3 linked regions of the Lepisosteus oculatus genome follow. The protein of the gene in region 2 purifies or fractionates together with the protein of the main gene of each other region. This does not show direct contact. Links are inferred from orthologs where the notes say so. Each region holds a gene or a part of one and is shown on either strand. Other genes may lie near its edges. The genes, in order: orc4, lrwd1 and orc5.

Evidence for each region.
Region 1: the proteins of lrwd1 (region 2) and orc4 purify together in Homo sapiens (affinity purification with mass spectrometry; 3 studies listed by BioGRID and IntAct, with this or other methods). This does not show direct contact. The link is inferred for Lepisosteus oculatus from reciprocal best matches to the Homo sapiens genes LRWD1 and ORC4.
Region 3: the proteins of lrwd1 (region 2) and orc5 purify together in Homo sapiens (affinity purification with mass spectrometry; 4 studies listed by BioGRID and IntAct, with this or other methods). This does not show direct contact. The link is inferred for Lepisosteus oculatus from reciprocal best matches to the Homo sapiens genes LRWD1 and ORC5.

Annotation. Positions count from the first base shown.
Region 1 is NC_090707.1:2,791,885-2,799,792, forward strand, and holds the start of orc4 (origin recognition complex subunit 4), read right to left. Parts: upstream 3,281-7,908; 5' UTR 3,165-3,280; intron 2,304-3,164; 5' UTR 2,285-2,303; coding exon 2,228-2,284; intron 825-2,227; coding exon 748-824; intron 1-747. UniProt on the Homo sapiens protein: Component of the origin recognition complex (ORC) that binds origins of replication. DNA-binding is ATP-dependent. The specific DNA sequences that define origins of replication have not been identified yet.
Region 2 is NC_090721.1:1,366,259-1,374,103, forward strand, and holds the start of lrwd1 (leucine-rich repeat and WD repeat-containing protein 1), read right to left. Parts: upstream 3,238-7,845; 5' UTR 3,232-3,237; coding exon 3,152-3,231; intron 2,584-3,151; coding exon 2,349-2,583; intron 2,019-2,348; coding exon 1,899-2,018; intron 1,703-1,898; coding exon 1,556-1,702; intron 852-1,555; coding exon 741-851; intron 257-740; coding exon 1-256. Other genes in the region: alkbh4 (alpha-ketoglutarate-dependent dioxygenase alkB homolog 4), read right to left, coding at 5,337-5,843, 6,510-6,704, 7,633-7,743. UniProt on the Homo sapiens protein: Required for G1/S transition. Recruits and stabilizes the origin recognition complex (ORC) onto chromatin during G1 to establish pre-replication complex (preRC) and to heterochromatic sites in post-replicated cells.
Region 3 is NC_090702.1:48,311,967-48,320,301, forward strand, and holds the start of orc5 (origin recognition complex subunit 5), read left to right. Parts: upstream 1-4,872; 5' UTR 4,873-4,939; exon of another isoform or gene 4,940-4,944; intron 4,945-6,575; 5' UTR 6,576-6,576; coding exon 6,577-6,690; intron 6,691-6,874; coding exon 6,875-6,967; intron 6,968-8,335. UniProt on the Homo sapiens protein: Component of the origin recognition complex (ORC) that binds origins of replication. DNA-binding is ATP-dependent. The specific DNA sequences that define origins of replication have not been identified yet.

The sequences.
Region 1 (7,908 bases), on a different chromosome or scaffold from region 2:
AGTGTCAGACGCCTCCACCCGTGTCCTTCGGCTAAGAAATGACACTTTCCGCAGCAGAAAGGCGGCCAGCCTGAGGTGCAATGCAAGCCTCACCGTGGGAGCGGAAAGCACCCTGGGAGAGTCCAGAGCAAGCGATAAACAAGTGCCATTGCCTGCTTTTGCAATCCATCCTCCTATTAAATCCCTTGGCTCACTTTCTAAGCAAGTGACAACTTGAAGGACCAATGTCAATTGCTACCATTAATAATCATGGCATTTTCTCCATGGGAATGAGGACACAACAACAGCACAGTTTGCAGTGGTGCTCCTCAAAATAGCTCAGACATAGACCCAATGGCTCTGATCTGCTGTTTCCCTTGCATATAACTACAAACTACATCACGGGCCGTGAAAATTCAAAATCATCAGCTATAAAAAGAGAAATTGTTTCTAGAAGGAAAAGGTAAGAAAAATACTGAGACAAAAACATCTAATATAAAGCAATTACAATTTTGTACATCTGTTTGTCCTTCACAGGTTAAAGACTTGACAACCTTACCCCGACAGACATAACTGCACTATTTATGATTAACGAGAGCAGGTAAAATTAAGTGTTATGCTACAGAACAGGCTGGCAGCAATGGTTAAACTTGGGGAATCGTATTCAGTGACCCAAGTGCTGTTTAAGCTCTTAGCGAGCTGAAGACACTCAAGCTCTTCAGGAAGCAAGGCATTTGAATACAGTCCAAGGGCAATCAAAACACTTACTCATACTGGGACTCCACTCCGAAGGGCTTGCTGGGGAGTTTCTGGTGACAGCACCTTTCCCTCAGTATTTTGTGAGCCTGAAAACGAGAAGAAAGCACGCGTTAAACTTCACAGCAACAAAGGGAGTCTTTATTGATTGGCAAACCATTCAAACAGATGAAATAGTAATAATATCGTATAAAAAATCACTTGTTCTTTTTTGTACGATTCACAATGTACAAATATTTATAAGAAAGAAAAGTGAGGTGAAACTGAAAAATTCAGTAATATAGCCGACAGAAAAAAGACAGACAGATATACGGGCATACAGATACATTATCTGGCTATTAATAGCCTCTATAAAGCAGAAAAAATCAAATGTATGTATTAAAATCAAAACATATTTTATATGTTGGAATACCTGGCAGGCACAGTAACAGCAACTGAGCAAAAACATAAAGGTTATAGTTTAGCAACTAATCCTATCCAACAGATTCACATATTCTGCAAGAAGGTTTTCATCTGTCAGGCACTAAGAAAATAAGTAAACAATTCCACTAGTATATAAAACAATCTACTGTCATGGGAAACGCATTTAATACAGAATGCAAAGTATACAATGAGTACTGAGAAACTAGCCTTCAGAAAATAAGGCAATAGAGCTAGATGCCCCTCAGGCCAAACTCAGAACAGAACACTCCGAACATCTTGAGCTGCAGCAGGTGGTAACTTCTAGAGCTCCATCGTTCTTACATTCTGATTATACAGCCTAACAACTAATCCTTGAGGATGTACTCTGACAAGATCAGACAAATTTAGCTTCTAAGAAGCAAAAAAAATACTTTAACTATGCAGAATTTCAGAAATACAAATAGTATTAAATGTACCCATTTTATCTGGTAAGATCCTCTGCGAATTTTTGATGCAGACAGCACAATCACAAGTAATACACAGACATCAGAGGATCACACTAACACAGATTTAGAACGGAGATTACACTTTGAAAAGTGCTGCGATTCGCATGGGCTTTTTCGAGTCAATTATCATTGTTAACAAAGAGGAACAGTGTGAATCTGCAATAATCACAGCAGAAACTAAGAATAAGAAAATAGATGAAGGGAAGTTAGTGTATCTGATGTAAGTCAAATTTCAACATTCTACTTGCAAGAACTTCTTTCAGATGCAAAGCTAGCATGACCTAAATACTGATCGCAGATAAGCGATCCTGCAGATAGAACTAATCTATGCAACACATGGTTTCACTTCATTCTTATCTTTCTGATCTACACAATCCCAATGTTTTGCGGGAGTCCAGATGTGTCAGACTAATCCTTAAATAATGTAGTGCCTACTCAAGAGGCTGCTTTATTTTCCTCACTTAACTGTTCTCTGGCTCGAACTCACCATACATTCAGATGAAGTCCCAGCAAAAACCTGTCCACCTATTTAAAATGGAAGAAACTGGTACCAACGGTAATTATCATCAATAAAAAATACAAACCTGAGAAATACATTCTCCCAGTGTTAAAGTGCTCTCTTTAGACTTTCTTTTACTCATGATGTCATAACCTTGGTGCCTAAAGAAGGAAAAAGACATTAGAGGTCAGCAGGCAGGCAAACTCCCTTCTGCAGGATAAACAGTGCAAATGGATACAGGCAAACTGACACCTCCGTCAGCGAAATGAGCACAGTGGTAAAACCTGCCTCCTCCAGAAAGTCAGGATTTCATCACGATGAGTACATTACATTCAGATGAATTACCAGGCTCTCACCTTGTCGACGACAAATATTTGTCTAGAACGAAAACTATATTGACTGACTTTTCAGATTTTAGATACAAAACAAAAGACGGTTATTGCTTGCTTGTGAGCTGCATTATTGTTAACCCGATTCTTGAACTGGACTCTATGGAAAAGTTATGAGCTGAAGAAGCTATCTTTGAGAGCCTAATCGAACACGTCGGCATGTCTGAAACGTGACTGCGCGTCTTTATCTTGAATTGTAATTACCAGCCCTTCGGTGCTGTGCTCCGACCTGCCAGTTGAAAAGTTGCACGAACCTGACTGCGCCAGACTTGCCTTCGCCTTCAATTATGCTTAACTAGGCATGACGTTACACTCTTGCCAGAACTGTTAAGCGGGCTGAAAATGTTTTAAACCTGGCAAACAGGGAAAACCCGTCTGGGTTGCAAAATACATGCAGGGTTTATTTCACATGCGCTACAATTCATTGGGAAGAACACAACCACCACACGGATACTGTGCTGTACGCAATGTTACCTTACAGTCTCCTCACTACAGCACCTCAACGGCAGGAGCCTGAGCGTGCTTTCATAGATGCTGCATAGCTCCCTCATCTAAAACGCATCCCGGACTCATTTCACAGGGAAAGGAAAGGCGGTGAACCTGAGAAACCGTGGATATATATAATTTTTTTACCTGTGACTTCTCGCTCAGTCCCTAAATCCCGACCATCCCTGCTCTTCCCGCAGTCACCCACCACCAGCACCTGCGATCACCTCTGAACTCTCAACCCGGCGCGTGACGTCAGCGGCGCCCTTCCGGCAGGCTCGCCCGTCGCTTCCGCTGGGTTTTACCGTGCATGCCGGGACACCCCTCTCCTCCGGGCCCCAAGCTGCGGCGCAGGCGCGCTGAAGAGCTCCATCTTTCTATCCCAACAAGCCCAGAGAGAGAGCCAGCAGCAGCAGTTGATGGGGAAGCTTTTTATTTTTATTTTTAAAGGGACAGAACCTCATTTTAACCAGCTCAAACCTTCCGTTTCGCCGCCCTTAGCCTCCCAGGAACTCAACGGGGGCAGGAAAAATGGAGGAAAAGGGTCTTAGGCCTTTATATTAAGGAGAACAATCCAGAAAGCCCTTTTCTCTGTCTCTTGCTTCTTCTTAGCAACACAACCCTCTCCTCTCCCTGTGTCTGTGCTTTGGCCCTGGCTGGAGACATTTCTGAGCAGAGACCTCTCAGTTCACACAGAGAATAAAAACTTCGCTATTTCTCGGTCACTCTGCCTGTAATTTCAATTTCTCTGGCGATGGAAGATAATCAGAGGTAGGTGCGCGTTTTTAATTCCTGGATATATTTTTTTGAAAAATGTTAAATTTCAGCTCCTGTTTGCCCTGAGTGTCTGAAAATGCATTTTATTTATGTGTTCTGGTGTTGGGGCTGTCTGTTCTGCAGAATATTGCTGTGAAGACTACACGCAGCCACAGATTATATTTAAATATTTTTTTCTTAAATGGTATTTTTTTTCCTTTGAACAGTCAAGGTGCATTTTGTTGAAGTTGGCAGGGGATGTGGACGCCTCCTTGAGATTTGGATTTTATCAAGCAAATTAAAATATCACGAAAAGCGGTAGATCGGTGTTCCCGTTACAATGTACCGAAGCCCTGCGTGATTAAATAACCTGGCTCAGGCCGACCGGGGCTTCGGGAGATCTCCTGGAAGCTTTCATCGGCCATATAAAAAGTTTAATTGTGAAGATAATGAAATTTAGCCCGGTTAAATGGTTTGTGTACATCCGAGTGGCCCCATACAGCACTGTTTCGCAGTTAGGTTGTCTACTTCTGAGTCATTGGATGCCATACCACCGGTTGTAAACGGGCACAGCTAATTCTGGATTAAAACCAGCCTGAGCCCTAGTCTCCTGACCGACACCTCGGCTGCCTGTATCTCAGGTATTTTTCAGCTGCTGCTCATTAAAACCTCTCATTAGCTGTCCACGGCGTTGTTTCTCCTTTTCATAGTTTCCAAATGCAAATATTGATGTTGTAAACGGCTGTCCTCTGCCGCCGCTCCAGCAGGACTTCACAGTGAAGGCGAGTTCCATGATGTGGATCAAGATGTTGCTGTTTTTTCTATGACATGACTTTTCTAGAGTTATTCTTGGCAGACTGTTTTTTTTTTATAATCCCTTCATGCAAGGTGCATGTGATGGATAAGCCATGTTAAATTGTGTGATTTGTGAGTTAGGCATGGCTCCTGTATGGTTTCTTATGCCCGGGTTGGTGAAAAAGAATTCCAAAGGAAAAATCGAAGCAAGTGGTTTAAATGTGAATGCAAATCGTACTACAAGAAGCTGTCTCATTCAGAAAATGAAGAGGTGTACCAACAACCCAATCAATAGCCTAGATATTTCTCTTCAGAACTTATTGATATAGTGTTGGCTTTTCCTATAAGAAGAGAAAGTTGGGTGATCTCACACCTACCGTCTGAAATTCAGCTAATGCTGTACCGAATACTGAACAGCGAAGGATCATTGACTATAATGAAAATGTGTGTGAGAGAGCAATTGTTTTACAGGTGTGTGCTCTCTGGGGGTAGACCTATATAAGACCATTCCCATAGACGCCATGTCCTTTAACATAATCAAACATTGTTCACCATTTATGTTATTGTTATTAATGATATTCACTTGCTTCGACAGCAGAACTATTAAAAACATAAAACATGACCTATTACGGCAGAGCAGCTGGGTACAATCATGGAGGTTAAGTTACAGCATCAATGCTTGGGCACACGTGAAATGTACTTCTGTGGAATTTCCCTCAGGAAAGTGGTAAACAGCTGTACAGGACGTTCGCATGTTTGTAAGTGTTTTGTATTCATTACTGCCTGCTTTTTCTTATATTAGTAGGTTGTTCAGTTTAGATGGCCATTTTCCTAATCCTGGAGATAAATAATGAATACTAAATATGTACTCGACTTTTATTTTTGACATCTGTTTTTCTGGAATCTCTTAGGTAGGTGGGTTTAAACTGTATCCATAGATTTTGGTCCTCTGGGCGCCTGTCGAGCTATAGTTGACAAAAACCTCAGTTTTTTCCCTTTCTGTATTTTTTTCATATATTTCGTGCCAGTCATATGGAAAGCATCTGAAAGCAAGGGACTGCCTTGCAATCAGTGTGATTCTTGGCTTAGCCTCACCTGGCCTTGTCAGTTAATAGACAGGGAAACACTGAAGTGCATCTGTACATGTGAGCCAAGCCATAGGCTGCAGTCAGTGTGTTCATAACTTGGATCACCGTACTGTCTCGCCATACGTATGATGCTGTGTACAGCTAGTGCACCCTGATGCTGAAGAAACGCGAGGGCTAGGTGCGGCGATGAGGATGCCTCTGTCCGAGGACAGGATGAGTCCTGCATGTTGGACAGGGGGTTCGTCATCTTTGTAAGGAAGCGGCGCTTGTCCCCAGAATCGGTTTCCACAATGAAAGGCATTTTGTGCCTCTTCTGCTTTATCGCTGTAGAAGGTCAAGGCCGCACCCAGTAATTATTTTCTTTAACATCTTCCCGCAGAGGTGCGAGGAGCTGGGTGTCTCCCAGCTGTTTTTGTGTATTTTTGCAGTGACTGTGGGCTGTGCCTTGTGTGATGAAGAGCAGCCGAGATACACTACTGTCTGTGTGGCATAGAATCAGCTGCTCAGGTTTCCTCCTGTGATTCATCTTCCAGATTTAAGATCCTCTGCACCCACATATTTCACATTTTGATCAACCTTTATTGAGAGCGGGGATTAGAGTCTGCGTTAGGTTTATATTCAAAGGGCTATTTTTCTTCTTTTCTTTTAGCCTGGACTGTAAAATTTCCACACTCCCAGTGCAGCTGTTAAGGCAGATGCCGTCCTTGCTGGCTTGTAGCGCCATGTACTGCTGCTGGTAGATCAGCAACATTTATTGGGGTGTCATTTACAGCCCTCTGTCACAGTCATACACAGTGTTCCACTTAGATTTCATATTGGGGCGCTTTACGACAGCTCAGCGCATTCCGTTTTTTCTCTGACTGAACCCATTGGCAGTGGTGGTTGCCATTGAGTTCTCTTGGTACTATGGGAAGCTGACTTTAATTTCATCCTTTTGTGGAATTTGAAATTAATGATTTTGTATGATATGTCTGATTATAATTCTATGTAATAGAAAGCAAGACTGTTTTAAGAAATTGGAAGTAGCCAGATTTGTCAGAAAACCTACAGGGTAATCTGTGTATTTATCTGTGTATCATGGCAAAATTCACTCAGAATTGTATTCACATGTTGTTGTGATATTGTGACAATTTTAGCTTATTTTAAGATGGTTCACAGCGGTAAAAAATAAAAACACTGGTTTCAAAATATTCAGCAGACCTAAACAGATTTTGATCCAGCATCCGTTTCTGTATGGTAGCTTTTGTTTGATGTGCTTATTGTCAAGGTATATTCCTTCCTTTTTTTTAAATTACAGTAATTAAATTGTGTGTTTCAAATACTTTCAAAGTTAAATTCCTGGGGAAGGACAAGTATGGATCTTTATGTACATCTACCATTCATTCCTAATGTGAAGAATTGGGAAGAGAAGATCGGCGTCCCACTGTTTGAAGTCCTTGGAAAGAGCTTTTTGAGCTGCACGGCTGATAAAAGCTTCTCGGAGCCCAGGTCCTGCAGGTGTGAATCTATTAGCCGACTGTGACCAGAACTTGTGGCTCGGGTTCTGCAGGGGAGGCCAGTAGGTTTGAAGTCAATGAGCTGAGTGGACGACAGTGACCCCTTTGGCTGGCGGGGGGCAGGCGGGCCTACAGGGCCTCGTAATCTCCACCTGAGACCTTAGCTGTGCCGTTCGTGCTGTAAGGCTCCTGGTACTCGCTGGTCTCAGGACGTGCACACGTGATGTTTCTACCTTTCCTATCCCAGTACACGGCTTGTGCCAGTGAGCAAATTCAATTAACCAATGGTAGTATATAAAAGCTTTAAGAACATAAGAAAGGTTACAAATGAGAGGAGGCCATATGCCGCATCCAGCCCATTTGATAGTAGATGATTGATCCGAGGAAGGAAGCCAAGGTATTCGTTTCAGTATTAGCTTGGTAGCTTTCTCTGTGCAGATTCATATCGTACCTTACATATTTTTAGTTTAATTTAATATATATAAAGTTATGTTAATCATAACTTACATCAGTATTTTTGCCAGGTGGTAGAACCACTGAGTGTTTTAGTGCACAAGAGTAGGTTATGGCACAAAAAAAAGCTTCAGAAAGTGAAGTGAAAGTGTTAAATGTTGGAGTTAATATCATCTCTGTTCGAGTACAGAAAGCGTACATGAGAATTTGTCGTGTCTTATCTGATTTTAAAAACTGGATGAAATGAAAAATACCTTTATATTTTAAACGAATTTACATTGCAGTGAACATAATGCAGTAGAA
Region 2 (7,845 bases):
GGGTCCCAGGATGCCGGGAAAGCGCTGAGGGTTTTTGGCAGTTGGCGGTACGAAGGCTCTTCCGTGGACTTCCCGAAACCGACTCTTTCCCGGGACTCTCCATCGTCCTCTTGGGCCGGCCCGGCTCCGTCTGCAAGCGGGATGGTTTTTGGGGGCTGGCTTTGGGGGGGGCGTCATCAGCCTGTCGCTGTTTTTTGAGGGCCCCCTCGCTGGGACTGGAGGCAGCACCCTTCCTCTTCGCAGGGGTGCGGGGGCCCTTGGATCAAACACACAATGAAACACGGGTTCAATTTTCAAGACCCTAAAAGAAGCGTCATCCCAAAATAATGGAACCCTCTGAAGTTCTCTCTTGCGTTTACAGCCTTAAAGAACATTCGCCCAGATGAACAAAAGGAAGCACAGTGCTGCTGTGGGCAGCATTGCTGCTGCGCAGTGCTGGGGCTCTGGGTTCAATTCCAGACCTGAGGTGCTATCTGTGTGGAGTTTGCATGTTCTTCCCAGGTTTGTGTGGGTTCTCTCTGGATGCTCCAGTTTCCTCCCACAGTCTACAGCCATGCCTATTCTGGGAGAATTGGCCCTGGTGTGTGTGTGTCCGTGTGTCCTGTCTTTCACCCCTTGCTTGCTGGGATAGGCTCTGCTGATTGGGAATCAGTGCTTAGAAAAGGATGGATGGGTAAATTGCTCTGTTAGAAGTACTGCATAAAACAATACTTTTACAAGACATAAAACAAGACTCTTACAGCGCCTGTGTTGTCTTTTACGGCGTCTGGCTCAGCCTGCTTTTTCTCGGTTCCCTCCTCCTTGTCCCCCTGTGCCAGCGTCTGCAGCAGCTCTTTAGCAATCCCCTCCAGCTGGAAGACACAACAGGCACAGCGAGGACTGAGAAATCCGGATACGAATGAACCCCCAGGACCCCCTGGCTGTGAGTAACTGCATTTGCCCAACTCTCGATCACAAAGCTCCTTTCACTTCGAAGGCAACACACAGGGGTGACACACAGCAGCCAGGTCCAGGGGAGGAGGGAGAAACTGCCACACGAATTAAGGCAGATCTTTAGGGAAGACCTGATTTTCCACGTTTTTCAAGTTGAATGATTTTAGTTAGCTTCTAAAAAACAGAATTTGGCCATACGAGCGAGGGGACAAAACAAACACAAATTACACACCTGTAAGTTTCTTGCTCTTTTGAACAGTGCCATGGGATCTTTAAAGTTTTTAACGTTTGCCATGGGATCTTGTGGTTCTGAAGACCAGTGTTCGCAGTCTCCATACTGGGGCACTGGACTGGAAAATTACTATTCCAGGAGGAAGTGCGTCAACCACTTGTCCTCCAACAGCACCACTTAGAACATCAGTCTGCTTTACCTTAGAGGTCTCCCGTTTCAGCCCAGCCTTCCTGAGCTCCTCACATCTGGCAAGACCACAGTCATCTCGTAAGAGCGAAAGTATTCCCAGTAGTTTTACTGCACAGCATCTCCAAGACCTCTTCTACACCTTCAAAGCTAGAGCTCACAAAAGGCAGGAAACCCAAGCTGTGCCGAATGCAAGCCACTCACCCGCCAGGTGGTGTAGTCGCTGAGGGAGCTGGGGCCGTATTTGATCTGCGAGCGGGCTGCCTTCACAAACTCCTTCTCCAGGGCCTGGAGCCTCTCGGCTGTGGGAGGCTCCGGCGGCCGGAAGCTGCTCTCCCACAGTGCCTCCACCTGAGGCGAGGAGAAGACCTGAGACACCTTTTCCACAGACAGACACACAAACCGATCGATTCTTGCAAACGGCCCTTCAGAAACATCCAGGAATCCATGTATGGTTTGCAGGAACCTGTAAGGACTTAACACTGCCCAACACCCTCCCTCCCGAGAGCTGATTTCAGACTCCCCCGTTGTGCTTCGAGACGCTTACCCGTTTCCGAAGATTCGCGCTGTTGACGTGGCGCAGGTGACTGGCCGAGGAAGCGACGTCCTTGCCGTTGAACATGCGCAGTTTGGGCAGCAGGAACATCAGTTTGTAATTGTCGCTGACCTGAGACAAACACACAGCAGGCTCTGGTAATCTGCTTTCTCATCCAGACATGGCCATACACCGAGGTGTGTAAAAGCCTTTTAACTTTGCAGACATTTATCTATTATTGTTGTGCTCCCCCCCCATTTGCAATGGAGATAGTTTTAAAACACACAACATTTACATTACCTACTTTTCCTGAAATATACTACATAAAAAAGTATGTTTTACTGATTCAGATTTAACTGAATGAGATTTAGATTAGTTGCAGGGTACGGCAGAAGCAGTGCTGTTTAACGGGTTTGTATGAGCACGTGTCTGTGTGTGACCATGACCGCGCTGGAGCCTTACAGTGAGGTACAGGTTTCCCTCCAGCCTCAGCTCTTCCAGGGCAGTGAGAGACTGCAGTGACAGCACGTCCTCCATCTCATTGTCGGAGCAGTCGAGGGAGCACAGGCGGGGCAGCTGCAGACCGGCGGGCAGCTCCTGCAGACGGTTCCTGGAGAGGTCCAGCTTCTCCAGGCTGCGCAGCCGAGACAGCAGAGGCAGGGGCAGGTCCGCACTGCGCAGATCCAGCCCGGAAAGGCTGTGGGGACGAGCAGGGGGTCAGGCCCAGGAACACCCACACCTCCATACGCACAGTGGGGTCTGAAAGCATTTCTGCAACACTGGGCCACAGGACTCTTTTTTATTCGTCTTATACAAATCTTTTAATAACAAATGGAGTAATTGTTGGACCCAATCAGACAAGTATGTAAACAATTTTCAAGTGTTTACTAATTTAGAAAATGACCAATAAACTGGTAGGAGTGGGGCTACGCTGGAACTGCATTGATCTCCCCACTGTTGCAAAACAAATCACATGGAGCAATTAAACTGCTTATGGAATCAAACATTATCATCCCGTAAAAACTTAGACCACAGGTTGGGAATTTCAAGGCTGTGACCTTATAGTAAATTACCCTATTTTAGTTTTGTTCTAAACAAGTAGCACTGTGCTACTTGTAGTAAGATGCATAAATACTTTTTTTGTTTTCCCTCAAAACAGCGTTGTGGCCCGCAGGTTTAAAAAACCCTGGAACAGCCCAAACTGCCTGGCAGTGGGAGCGCTGGAGAGAGGGGGAAACAGACACCTGGCCAGAGCAGACACTTACTTCAGCCTCCTGACCTGCTCCAGCTTGGCGCATTTGGGGGAGCCCCTCTCCAGCAGGAGCTTCTCCGTGATCTTCGACATGGCCGGTCCAGCACAGCTCGCAGTCGCCTGCACAGACACGGACAGCACGGCCGTGTGAGTCCTCACCCCTCCGCCTATGGGCACCACTGCGCTAGGGCGGAGCTGCACCCGGGTGCGTGACGCCCACTAGAGGCCGGGGCCCCAGAGACGTGGGGACAAAGCGAGAGATCACCTCATAACAAAAGAGCCAGAGGGAACTCTAAAGGTGTTTTCAGGTTTAAATTAAAGGCTTTAAAAAAGGGGCGTGAAACCATATTTTTCTTTTTCGCGAAAGTCGTTAAAGTCAGCCCTAACGCAGGGTGCTTAAAAAAAGAACACCTCTCGACCAACTTTGCATCTCAAAAGCCGGGTGCCCAAGCTGTAGGAAATGTGACTGCAGAAGAAGAAGAAATGAAACACGCCCCCAATGAGAAGAATACAGGGACATTATCTTCACTTTAAATTACAAAAGGCACCGCTTAGTCGTTTCGTTTCGACTACGGCTTTTCGCAATCAACCCCAAAAATTAGCCCCTGCTGTGATGAAACTCGCAAAAGGACTATGGCGAGACCGATCACATACTGTATATAATACTACTGCATCTGCGAGAAACTTCGCGATATTAAAGTTATCTTCATTAAACTGTCAGACATCTAATGCACTTTACAGTTAATTGATATGCACATGATTTTATGAACAGACTGAAAGACCCATTTCTTTGAAGCAAATGTGCTGTGCGTGAAACATTAATTTGCGTGTATACATAAAATAGGCATCTCAAAACTTCCGCCAGTAGCACTTCATGAATACCCCTAAGCACCGGCGACGATTTCAATTCCAAGAAAAAAAAAATACACAATGAGTATCATCTGCCCATTCCATCACCAAACACGTTTCAGTCACTCATACTTTCAAAAAATGATTGATTGGTTTAACAATGTCAGATTCCGGATAAGAGACACACCAGTTGAACGATTCGATGATTACAAAGGTTAAAGCAGCGAATTAAAAAAAGGCAAGAGGCTTTGCAGGAATGTGATAAACTTACTTTCCAGCTGTAGACGTGCAAAAGTTTCCCGGGAAAATTAAACTTTCACCTTTGACCCGGACCGATGACGACACCTAGCACAGCAGTTCCGCCATTTTGTGTGTGGCAAAGACGTACATGAGGTCACATGGTTTAACCCGAGGGGGAAAATGAAATAAGAATCGTATCTTTTTTATCAACTAATTTGCAGTGCTTTATTTTTCTGTTTGATTGCATGATATTGACGGCAATTAATTTGCTTTTCCTGCTCTTTCTAATTATATTCAATAACGACAAAATGTTTAAACGTAAGAAAAGCTGCAAACGAGGTCGCCAACCGTAAATTTGTCCTGCATCCTGAAGAAGCCAGAGTTTGGGCTTCAACCACTCTGCTGGGAGATCTGTTCCAGACACAGACAACTCTGTACGCAAAGAAGCATTTAGTATTTTTCTTAAACTACTTCCTTTCAGTTTCCATCTGTGAGCCAGTGCGTCTTAAAAATAATTACAACACCCACTAATATAATTACTTAAACTACGTACAACCTTACACATGAACTATACACCTTTCTCAACGAACATAATGGAGAACAAAGCCTCAGGCCACCTCCAAAAGCAGGAACATGAACATCACAGCACAAAAAACTGGGATCTATCTGTCTGTTGTGCAGTAATCACTCCAGGTCTGACCTCCTCATGCAGCAGTGAAGTGGTCATAGCCACACTTGAAATTTCTGTGTTTCACCATTCAGCATCCTGTTCCTCTACAACGTTTAGTTTTACCAAACAAAATACCACATTCCTCAGAAGGCGAAGACTCCCTCAAACCACCGCGTGCACGTAGGCTCCATATCCACCACGGGACGTTCAGACAGAACACTGATTCATCTCAGACCTCAAATCAACAGTTTAATAAATACAGTCAAGCACGTACAAACAGCTGAACACAATTTCTTTCAGAATCAAGCTGAGACAACAGAAGAGAGGGATCTCAGCTAAGCACATGGAATATCTTCTCGGGGAGATCCGAACACCTGGGCCACACACCCCTGGGCTCCAGGCCAGAAGGTTTCCGCCCCAGCTGGACTCCCAGGGCCTGCTACACTGGGATCCCCTGAAAGCTGAGGGCTACGTCCAGCAGCTGAGAGCCGAGGTTCTCCTGCTCCCCCCCGGACAGGAACTCCGCAGACAGCTCCCGGAAGGTCACGCAGACCCGGCGGTCCCGAATGTCCTGCCTGCGGACCGCGTGCTCCCACTGGTGCCGCGCCTCCCCGTACAGCGCCAGCAGGGCCCGGCGGGGCAGGGGCACCAGCACCCACACGCCCCCCGCCCCCGCCCGCTCCCGGCTCATGGTGAGCACCGTGGGGGACAGCAGGTTGAGGGTGACCAGGCGCTCGCCCCACAGCCAGGCGTCGTCCAGGTGGGGGTCGATGGCGGAGCCGCGCTGGGGGCTGTAGTCCAGGTTGCACTGCTCCACGGGCTGGAAGCCCCCCAGCAGCGGCGCCCGGCCCATCCTGCGCACCAGCTCCCGGCTGCACGGGGGCAGGCCGCTGAAGCCCCCCAGTCTCACCCGCCGCTTCTTGAAGTTCACCTTGGGCCCGAAGTCCTGGGGGGGAGGAGCACAGTCACTGGGGCACCACAGAACGATGGTCTGACGGTGCGGAAAGACACGTCTCTTATAAAACCCCACACGACGCAGAGACTGGGGAAAGATGCTTGCGGAAATATCAACGATTTTCTGAGATTTAAACTGGACCCTAGAAATCTGCTTCTGGACGAACAGCAGAGGCAGAAAAGTGCCCCTTGGGTAACGTCTGAATCGCAGGCCTGAACCAAATCACCAGAAACCAGTCGAAGCTGGACAGACCTAGCGTTCAGATGTTGAAGATCTCTAGGAACGAAATCTATCTCATGGAAAGAAATACCCACAGAATTAGCCATCAATTTGTAAAAAGATCATCAAAACTGGAAAGCTATGTTGAGACTCTCAGTCATGTGATAGGAACAAAGATGCAACAGACTATACAAATGATGTAAAAAGTAATTCAACACTGTCTGCTTCTTTTTTATGTATGTGGGAAAAAATAATATCATTAGCCCCCGCATAATGACAATAAAGGATGTAAAAAAGCAGATGCAGGGTTTTTCCATGAATCAGCTGTGCATGTCGTTTCCTGGAGAGTGCTGTTCATTTAGAGAAGCACTCGTCGCTGGGGGAAAGAGCACACGGAGAAAAGACACGAGTCACCGAGCGCCTCTCCTGCTACCGGACCTGTTTCCTGCGGCCGGACTGCGAGTCCCTCCAGGCGTCCCGGTCCATCGCGCTCACCAGCTCCTGCTCCTCCGCCTCCGACACGAAGTTCTCCCACAGCAGGACCCCGGGGAACGGGAAGGACTCCTGGACTCCTGGAGCCTCCGCTCTCACCGCCAGCCCCGAGGACGGCTCGTACACGAAGACCCGGCGCGGCTGTGTGGCCAGAGAAACCGCCATGATGTTCACACCTTGCACGGCTCGCTCACGACCTGCCGCAGGGCCTTACCGCCACGCAGCGACACGTGACACGTGCGCATACAAACCCAGACAAACACAAATCCCCCTTTAATGCTGTGCTATACATCTTAACACCTTCACGAGTAAAACAAGAATGTTTAGGAATATTTAAGAGTCTTCTAAAGGAGGAGAGGGGTAATCTGAGAACAGCACCAACAGAGTGCTGGAGACCGTCGGGGAATCCAATCTCTTCAGGCATTTTTTATCAGGGGAAAACAACAGCAAAAAAAGAATTCAGAAAGTGCTTTACAACTCTGCAGTCAGGAACTGTCCAGCTACTATAGTATAAAGATCTATTTTATGGCCCCATCTGCTGGGGATTGTGTCCAAATCCAGTTCCCCAGGATTCTATCCAAAAATTGCTTTAATAAATACAAGTATCCCAACAATAATGATGCTGAATAGAAAACAAAGAATCACATGGAAAAAAGCTGCATCTCAAAGCATTATACAGCACATCAGTTTGCTGTTTCCATTTATTAATGAAAAATTGTGCAAATATAACTTTTCAGATCTTCTCTTAACTGTAGGGTGAACTGCATTTACCAGATGGTGGTCTATATTTTCAGATGATTGATAATGGAGTGTATTATTTAGTCATGAATGTATCGAGTACATTAAAAAGGGGGTAAAGTCTTTTTTTACCATTCGGACTGAAAGCATTCTTAAATGGATTAGTTGTATACAATCCCACAGCTCATTTTTTAAGGTATCCTTGTAGCGGCGAATGTAATGATCAAAACAAAGTAGAGATTCTGAAACTTGATTTTACAGTTTAAATAATGCCAAAGAGCGAAATCTGGTGTATGAAACTTCTCAGTACACGTACAGTGTGACATCGTACCTGCTGTACATTAATCCGGTTGTCCAGTTTCCCATTGCGATTTTCACAGATCAGACAGGAGCGGATTCCTTTACAGGCACAGTTGGCTTGTAACACTTCTTCGTCCGCCATAAAGGTCGACAATCCCACGGTGTAAACACGACCATCAACAGGGAGCGATCATCACACAGCACCACCACAAAAGCCCTCCAGTGTTACATCCAAATGTGCCCC
Region 3 (8,335 bases), on a different chromosome or scaffold from region 2:
GCTCACACCTGCTGGATTATAAGGAGGTCATGACTGGTAAAAGCCAGGAGAAAATCTGGCCAGGACACTACTATCAACACCTCTGCTATTTTTGAGAAACACCCTGGGATTTTTAAAGACCACAGAGAGTCAGAACCTCAGTTTTACATCTCACCAGAAGGACAGCATTTGTTTGTGGGGCGTTAGTACCCACACAGACTGCATGGTGAGTGCCCTCTGGTCTCCCATCCAGGTACTGGCCAGGCTCACACCTGCTTAGTTACAGTTAGTTACAGGAAAAGTCTAGTTGAAGTCATTTCTGCTGAAGGATGATCTAACAGTTGTTGATATTAAGGGTTTAACAAACGTCTTCACTGTTGGATCTGTTGGATCATTTATTATCTCCAAATACTGTGTATATTTTGTCCTTGTGTTATACATTTAATCAGGTTATCTTGATCCTTTATTAAGACTTTCATGAAGATCTAATTATGTTTTAGGTCTATATCATTGTAACGTCCCAGTGTGTGTTCTGTGTGTGTTTTTTTCTGTTATGTCCACACTGCTGACCCTTGATTATTCTCCCTTCCCCATTGGCCCACCATTACACCACACTTTCAGTATGATGTCATCATCAATTAGCTCTCAGCCAATCAGAACACATCTTATTCAGCCTATAACATGGAGGTTTTCAGCAAGGAGAGGCCTTTTGTTTGACTTTGGTCCCGTTTGCTTCTGGTTATTGCTTCGGCTTTGTTTGTTTGTTGGTTTGTTTTGCTTTGTGTGTGTATTTTCGTATTAGCTTCGGCTTTGTTGTTTTGTTGGTTTTTTGTTAGTTTCTTTGTGCTTTTGTTTGTGTGTGTTCATCCTTGTTTTGCCATTACCTTGCCCCACTGTTACATGTTCAACTTTTGTGTTCTTTTGTACCCTGCTCCTGTTGATTACTCTTGTTTTCCCTTATTTCTATTCCTGGTTCACTTGTGTTTTTGTGTGAACTTTTGTATATAAGGTTAGTTTAGGTTGTTGGGTACACTTTACACACTCGGTTGATTTTGTATTAGTACACTAGTTTCGTACGGGTGAGTGCCATTTGTCTTGTATGGTTTTGGGTAGTCAGTTAGCTAGGGTGTTGAAGACGCCGAAGACCGTGTTTTGGGTTTTCTTTTGTAGTCCGATTAGCTTTCCCTCACTGTCCTAGCCAGCTCCATTTTGTTTATTATTTTCTTTCCTTTGGCACCACTTTAGTTGCTTACCCTTGTTATCACGCTTCCTAATCCCTCACCAAAACCCACCTGCTTCCAAAAGAATTATCCTAAATGTTACACCCCTTTACCCCTAGACACTTGGGGTCGTAGCAATCATACATGGGAATGCGTGTCTGTGTATAGGCCCACTGACTGGGATTCACAATCTTTTTCCCAGCACTGCATCGAAAGCCCAGCTACCTCTCATTATCTTTAAATCAACATAACTCACACTCATGTCATTTTCTCATTTGTGTCAGAATATGCCCACACAGCCATGGATGAAAGACTTAGTCAATGACCAACAGGATTTTCACACAGGGTAGCCTTTTTATGGTTTTGAAAAGTCTTTTTGAGGAGGCCCCCTCAGCGGGTTTCCCGGATGAGTCAGTGGAAATTCACCTCTGTTTGGGTGTGAGGAAGAGAGAGGCCAGCTGGCGTAGGTTCAACCTGGATTCCTGCACACCATTCCTGTAAGGGGAGCTGGTCCAGGCTCCCGTGAAGCATAGTTCAGGACCCTATGCAGACGGTATGATCCGGAAGTAACTGGAGAAGGACAGCAGGGAAAAGACGTTGAGGATCTGGAGAATGGACTGGAGTAGAGGACAATGGGATGGAACTGAATGTTGGGGCGTTAAAGAATAAAACGCATCTCAACCCTAATATTTGTTTTTTAGGGAACATCCCACCCTTCTGTGCACGCAGCTTGACAGCTCCTGACTTTCACACGGTGAGATTCAGAGATTCAATCTCTATTGTCTATTGCACAGCTACGCCTTTACTGAGAAAACCCCCCGGCGCAGAGGAGAGAGGCTGAAGCAGCATAAACGCCAGTGAAGCGGCAGCCGTCTGGAACTTGCAAGGGACAGCAAGGCTGTACCCCTCAGCTGCAGGGTGCGTTTACTGGGCTCCGGATCGCTCTCGTTTCCCAGTCCTCAATGGTGCGGCAGTATGATGTATACAAATCCAGAGTCGTCATTTATTATCCTATCCATCCTACCAATGTGGAAAATCACCCGCTGGATCTTTGCCATCTGGATCCCAGAGGTGTCCCCTGCGCCCACAGGGGGAGAAGGAGGCAGTACAAAGGGCTCCCCTACCCTGCATCGCCCCCTGCTAGGCTGTTCCTTGATTCACATCCTCTGAGTCAGAGGGCAACTCATCTTCTTGCAACCAGTTGCTCTGACAAGCTCTGTTCGGTGGCTCTGGTTCACAGTGGAGCTCCTCGGATACTCATGGGGTTTCTAAGTTTTTTTTTTTCCTCAGTGGAACCTTTTTCCTCCCATGTGCTGAAAGAAGCCGTGGAATTTCGAAGGCACGTCTTTCGCAAGAGCAAGGGGTGGTACAGTCCGCAAGAGAAATTACATTTTTTTAATCCAGCACTTGCACTGCAGAGGAACATCATTTAATGACGGGCAACAGTTGAGCACATTGTGCTCTGGGCTGAAAAGCAATAGACGCCCCCTCCAGCTGCTCTAAGTCTCTGGATCCTGAAAGGCTCTGACAAAATCAAGTCAACCCAGCAGGTCTCTTCGAAATTCCCAAAGGAGTGTGGGAGTTCTGAAAGAAATGAGTCTTTTTACTCCTGAATGGAGAAGACTACAAGGGGACCTGTTCCGCGTGTTCAGTTTTTTCAGCCTGGCGCAGAAGGACATAACTTTAATTCCAGAAATGTATTAGGCGGATCTTCTCTGGACTGATTCAGAGCAGCCATATCTAATTTGTAAGGGGGCAGCCAAAATTGTACACAGTATTCTAAATGGGGCCTAATTAGTGCATTGTACAATTAGGCCAAAGCTTGTCGCTAGACGTCTACAGCCTCTCTCTCACAGCACATGAGCAGCTTGCTGGCTCCACAACAAAGTCTCCATCTGAGACTCTTCTCAGCTCTCACAGGTTCAAGTCAGCAGCTATATCATCCTGCAACTCACAACTGGCAGTGCACTAAAGCTCAGTACGTATGAGCCTGACAGTACCTGGATGGGAGACCTCCTGAGAAAAACTAAGGTTGCTGTTGGAAGAGGTGTTAGTGAGACCAGTGGGGGGCGCTCACCCTGCGGTCTGTGTGGGTCCTAATGCCCCAGTATAGTGATGGAGGCACTATACTGTAAAAAAGGCTCTGTCCTTTGGATGAGATGTAAAACCAAGGTCCTGACTCTCTGTGGTCAGTAAAAATCCCAAGAGTAGGGGTGTAACCCTGGCGTCCTGGCCAAATTTCCCATTGGCCCTTACCAATCATGGCATCCTAATAATCCCCATCTATGAATTGGCTCATCACTCTGCTCTCTTCCCTACTGAGAGCTGGTGTGTGGGGAGTGTACTGGAGCACTATGGCTGCAGTCATAATCAAGGTGGGGCTGCACACTGGTGGAGGGGAGCCCCCATTACCTGTAAAGAGCTTTGAGTGGAGTGTCCAGAAGAGCGCTGCGTAAGTGTGAGGAATTATTCATTATTATCATTCTGTCTAGGCAACCGTGGGGGCAGCTGGTTTGGACCCCATGCAAGACCGCAGCAGAGTAATCCTGGGAAAAGTTCCAAATTAGTTACCAAATCCAAGAAACGTCAAGCGATGCCGTAGATCCAGGGATAGAGCAAGAACTTCAAGAGCCGAGAAAGACGATAAGGTTTAGAGTATTCATCCAAAGGGAAAAGCGGGAAGCTCAGCAGTGAGCGGAGTGAGAGGGTGTAAGTAGGGAGGAGTGTGTGTGGAATGATAATTGATTAATTAGTGCAAGGAGAGAGGCGCTCGTGGGTATGCGGTGACGTCGAAGTGCTCATGTGCGGTTCATGGCAGCTTTCTTCTGGCCAGTTTCCTCCACTTTGAACTTTGAACCCCTGGAGCAGGGGAAATTGTTGCCTTTATTTCATATAGTGCCTTTTGTGACCGTCACAGTTCCTGCACAGGAATGCTTGATGCCCTCCGCCACCCGTTTCGGCCTGCAACACCTGGGGCGCGAACCTGGGTCTCCGGCGTAACGCCACAGGGAACCAGCCGCATGAGCTAAAGGGGACCTCCCTCAGCCCAGGCTGCTGAGGTCCCTGCTACGCGCAGGGAGGGCGATGACGTCACCGTGTCCGAACTAGCTCCGCTACACTTTCATGGTGCATAATCTCAAAGCGCCGGTGTTTTCTCAGCCCTTTGTCTCTCATGGAGTTAACTCTCAAATCGCTGAGGTCCAAGGAGTAAAATGCTCTGAACAATATTGGACTTTAAAGTACTTAAAAAATCAGCATAGATCCGTGACACGATTCCCTTTGATGTTGTATCACTATAATAAGTCAATCCCTGCAAACTGTTGTCTGTTTTTTAGTATCAACCAAGATTTTCCAAATACTATATCCTTTTATTTTTATCCAAATCTACTTGATGAAACAGTGTACCTTTCAATTTGGTTTTCTGTATATATAATATCTATTACATAAACAAGGATATATGTCCTACAGTTCATTATTTTATATTAATACAGTGCAGTATGAAGTCATCTCTACAAGCATGCGTTCTCTGGGAATTTGTCAGCTGTCTTTGGGTCGTTCCAAGCATATCCTAAGGAAAGACTACAAATCCCAGAAGGCCAAGCAGCCCGTGGCCTCCAGACGAGCTCTGATTGGCCACTTTTCTGTTGTCATGTGACAGGAAGGAATTTGAGCTCTAACCTCGGCGTGGCGCGAAAGCATGTAGCAGCAGGGAGACACTGGGGGAATTGCTGAGAGATCAGGTGCAGTATGTGACGTTGTTTTGTTTGACTGAGCAATATTAGCTCGTCCAAACGTGGTGCATAAAAGCTTCGATACTGCCACATTATGTTATCACTTAATAATTCAGCAAAGCCCTTTGCTATTTAAGAATTTGTTAGTATAATTTAAAGAAACACCGTTAGATTCGGTGAGCAGAGACTTCGGCTCTGCAGAATAGCTACAACGGGAAGCGAGACCGTAAAGAGCTCAGCTTGTATGCTGGCGGTACCGCACTCGCTCCTGGGACAGTGGTTCCCTGTGTGAGAGCCGTGACAGCCGAGTCGGCGCAGGAGTTTACTGTCGGGTCCGAGTCAAAAACCGGAGAGGCAGGGACAGAACCAGTGGTGCAACTGAGCTCACCGTTAGCGCTATGATATGGCGGTCTAGCAGACAAACAGGGTTTCTGTGACGGGTGTCTGTGTGTGCGCTGGAACCGCAGAGGTCTCCGCTGGTGTGATCTAAATGTTTCGGCTGCACTGTAGCACTCCTGCCTTTCCGATACAGTAAAACGGAGCTGAGTTCATTTCCACCAGTCTGTGCACCGGCGTTTCGGCGTTACTGATCAGAGCTCCATCGACAGCAGTGCGTCAGTACAGTGCGTCTCCCTTTCAGTAAGCAGCCTGATGTAAACTCACTTGTTTGAGCGGTCAGTAATGAGTATTAATATGCTAGTATATTATCTTAGACGTAATCGTATATAAAGGACGCCTGCTGTTTTCCACATCCAGTACGCTGAGACTCTCTGAGTCAACGTGTCTGTGATGCTCACTCAAAAACCTTCAGCTCTCCAGCTGGTCTTTTTTACGCTTGTTCTATACAGCTTCTAAAAGGAGCAGAAATGTATAAAGACAACAGCTACTGTATATCACCCTGTACCTCACACCTGGAAGCCCCTTGAAGCTCCGCAGGTGTGAGCCTGGTCAGTACCTGGATGGGGGACTCCTGGGAAAGCTGAGGTTGATACTGGAAGTGGTGCTAGTGGGCCAGTAGGGGGAGCTCACTCTGCAGTCTGCGTGGGTCCTAATGCCCCAGTATAGTGATGGGAACACTATACTGTAAAAAAAAAGGCTTCATCCTTGGGATGAGACATAACACAGGTCGTGACTCTCCATAGGTCACGAAAAATCTCGGGGCTTTGCTGAAAAAGGGTAGGGGTGTTAATTCTGGAGTCCTGGCCAAATTCCCCCCTGGCCTTTACCAGTCGTGGCCTCCTAATAATCCCCATCTGTGAACGGGCTCATCACTCTGCTCTTCTCCCCACTGAGAGCTGGTGTGTGGGGAGTGTACTGGTGCACTATGGGTGCCGTCACATCTTCCAGGGCTGTACATATGGCGGTATAGCTCTTTCGGCGGAGTGTCTGGAAGAGTGTTTTAGAAGTGTACGGATTATGCTGTGGATGATCAAGGAGTCACCTGGGCTTCACCGTGAGTGGACCGCAGTTCTGGTGGGGTCCAGTAGGGGGCGCAGTCTCCACACTGGAGAGCAGTAAGGGCCGTGGGAATAAAGGGTGGAGGCGGGGGAGCTGGGGTTTGTAGTCTCCCCCCCGTGTGGCCGCCTCCCGTGTCCAGTGTGTCCTCACCGCCGCGGGCCCCTCTGCCCCCTGTCTGTCCCTGCAGGATGCAGGCCCAGCTGCAGCACCCTGGCTACCCGGCGGCGCGCCTGCAGGTGGCGGAGGAGGCCGTGCCCTGCCGAGAGGCGCAGGCGGCCGCGCTGCTGGCGCTGTTCGGGGAGGTGAGAGGATTGGGTGGCGTGTGCGTGTGCGTGTGCGTGTGCGTGTGCGTGTGCGTGTGCGTGTGCGTGTGCGTGTGCGTGTGCGACTGGCGCGTGGCCTGCGTGCCGGGGTCTGGGCAGGGCGGGGCAGGTGTCGATCAGCGCCGGCCCTCAGCCCCTCTTCCTCCCTGTCCTGTCCCTGCAGCCCGAGCACTACAGCTACCCCTCCCTCTTCCTCTACGGACACCGGGCGACTGGGAAGAGCCACGTCACGCTCACCCTGCTCCGAGAGCTGCAGGTAGGCCCGGGGCGCCGCCGGGGCGGCTGGGTTTGGGCGGGGAAGGCCTGCACTGGGATGGGGCTTGGGCAGGGGCAGGGGTGGCCAGGGTGGGGTAGGGGCAGCTAGCCAGGGCCTGGGGCAGAGACAGGGGCTGGGGTGGCCAGGGTGGGGTAGGGGCAGCTGGCCTGGGCCTGGGGCAGAGTCAGGGGCAGGGGTAGGGGTGGCCAGGGTGGGGTAGGGGCAGCTGGCCTGGGCCTGGGGCAGAGACAGGGCCTGGGGTGGCCAGGATGGGGTAGGGGCAGCTGGCCTGGGCCTGGGGCAGAGACAGGGCCTGGGGTGGCCAGGATGGGGTAGGGGCAGCTGGCCTGGGCCTGGGGCAGAGACAGGGGCTGGGGTGGCCAGGGTGGGGTAGGGGCAGCTGGCCTGAGTCTGGGGCGGGGGCAGGGGTGGGTGGCTGGGGTGGGGTAGGGGCAGCTGGCCTGAGTCTGGGGCGGGGGCAGGGGTGGGTGGCTGGGGTGGGGTAGGGGCAGCTGGCCTGAGTCTGGGGCGGGGGCAGGGTCAGGGGTGGGTGGCCTGGGTCTGGGGCAGAGACAGGGGCAGGGCCAGTCTGTGCCCAGCTCACTGTCTCTCTCCTACAAATCAACGTTTAAAGTCCAGGAAAGGTCATCGGCAGGACTGGCCAGGCACAGTGTCATCACAGGACAGCGTATGCAATTAAACTGGAGTTTGCATGAACAATACAATGAATATACTTCTGATCTTCTCATTTGTCCTGAAACAAGTGCACGTCCACATATCCGCTGTGTGCACCTAATTGTGGGTCGCCATACGTGTGAACATGTGCAGTGCCCTCCAGAAGTACTGGGACAGCAAGGTGTCTGGTATTGTTGCTTACGGTCGGGCCATTTCTATTTGTGATCTCAAGATGGAAATGAATAAGTGCAATCTGAATTTACACTTCAGTTTAAAAACGCGTACGTGTTGGGGGCACACTTTGCTCTACGTACGTTCCACAGTGGAAAGTCAGGGTGTGAACGTGGCGGTTCTGCGTGGGCTCGTGCCCTCTGCCACCCGTTCCGTCCCGCAGCACCTGGGGCGCGAACCCGGGTCACCAGCGAAACGCAACAGAGAACCAGCAGCCATATCACCCTGTAACTCACAGCTGGCAGCCCACTGAAGCTCAGCAGGTGTGAGCCTGGTCAGTACCTGGATGGGAGACTCCTGGGAAAAACTAAGGTTGCTGCTGGAGGAGGTGTTAGTGGGGCCAGCAGGGGGCGCTCACCCTGCGGTCCATGTGGGTCCTAATGCCCCAGTATAGTAAACAGGCGCCGTCCATCGGATGAGACGTAAAACCGAGGTCCTGACTCTCTGTGGTCATTAAAAATC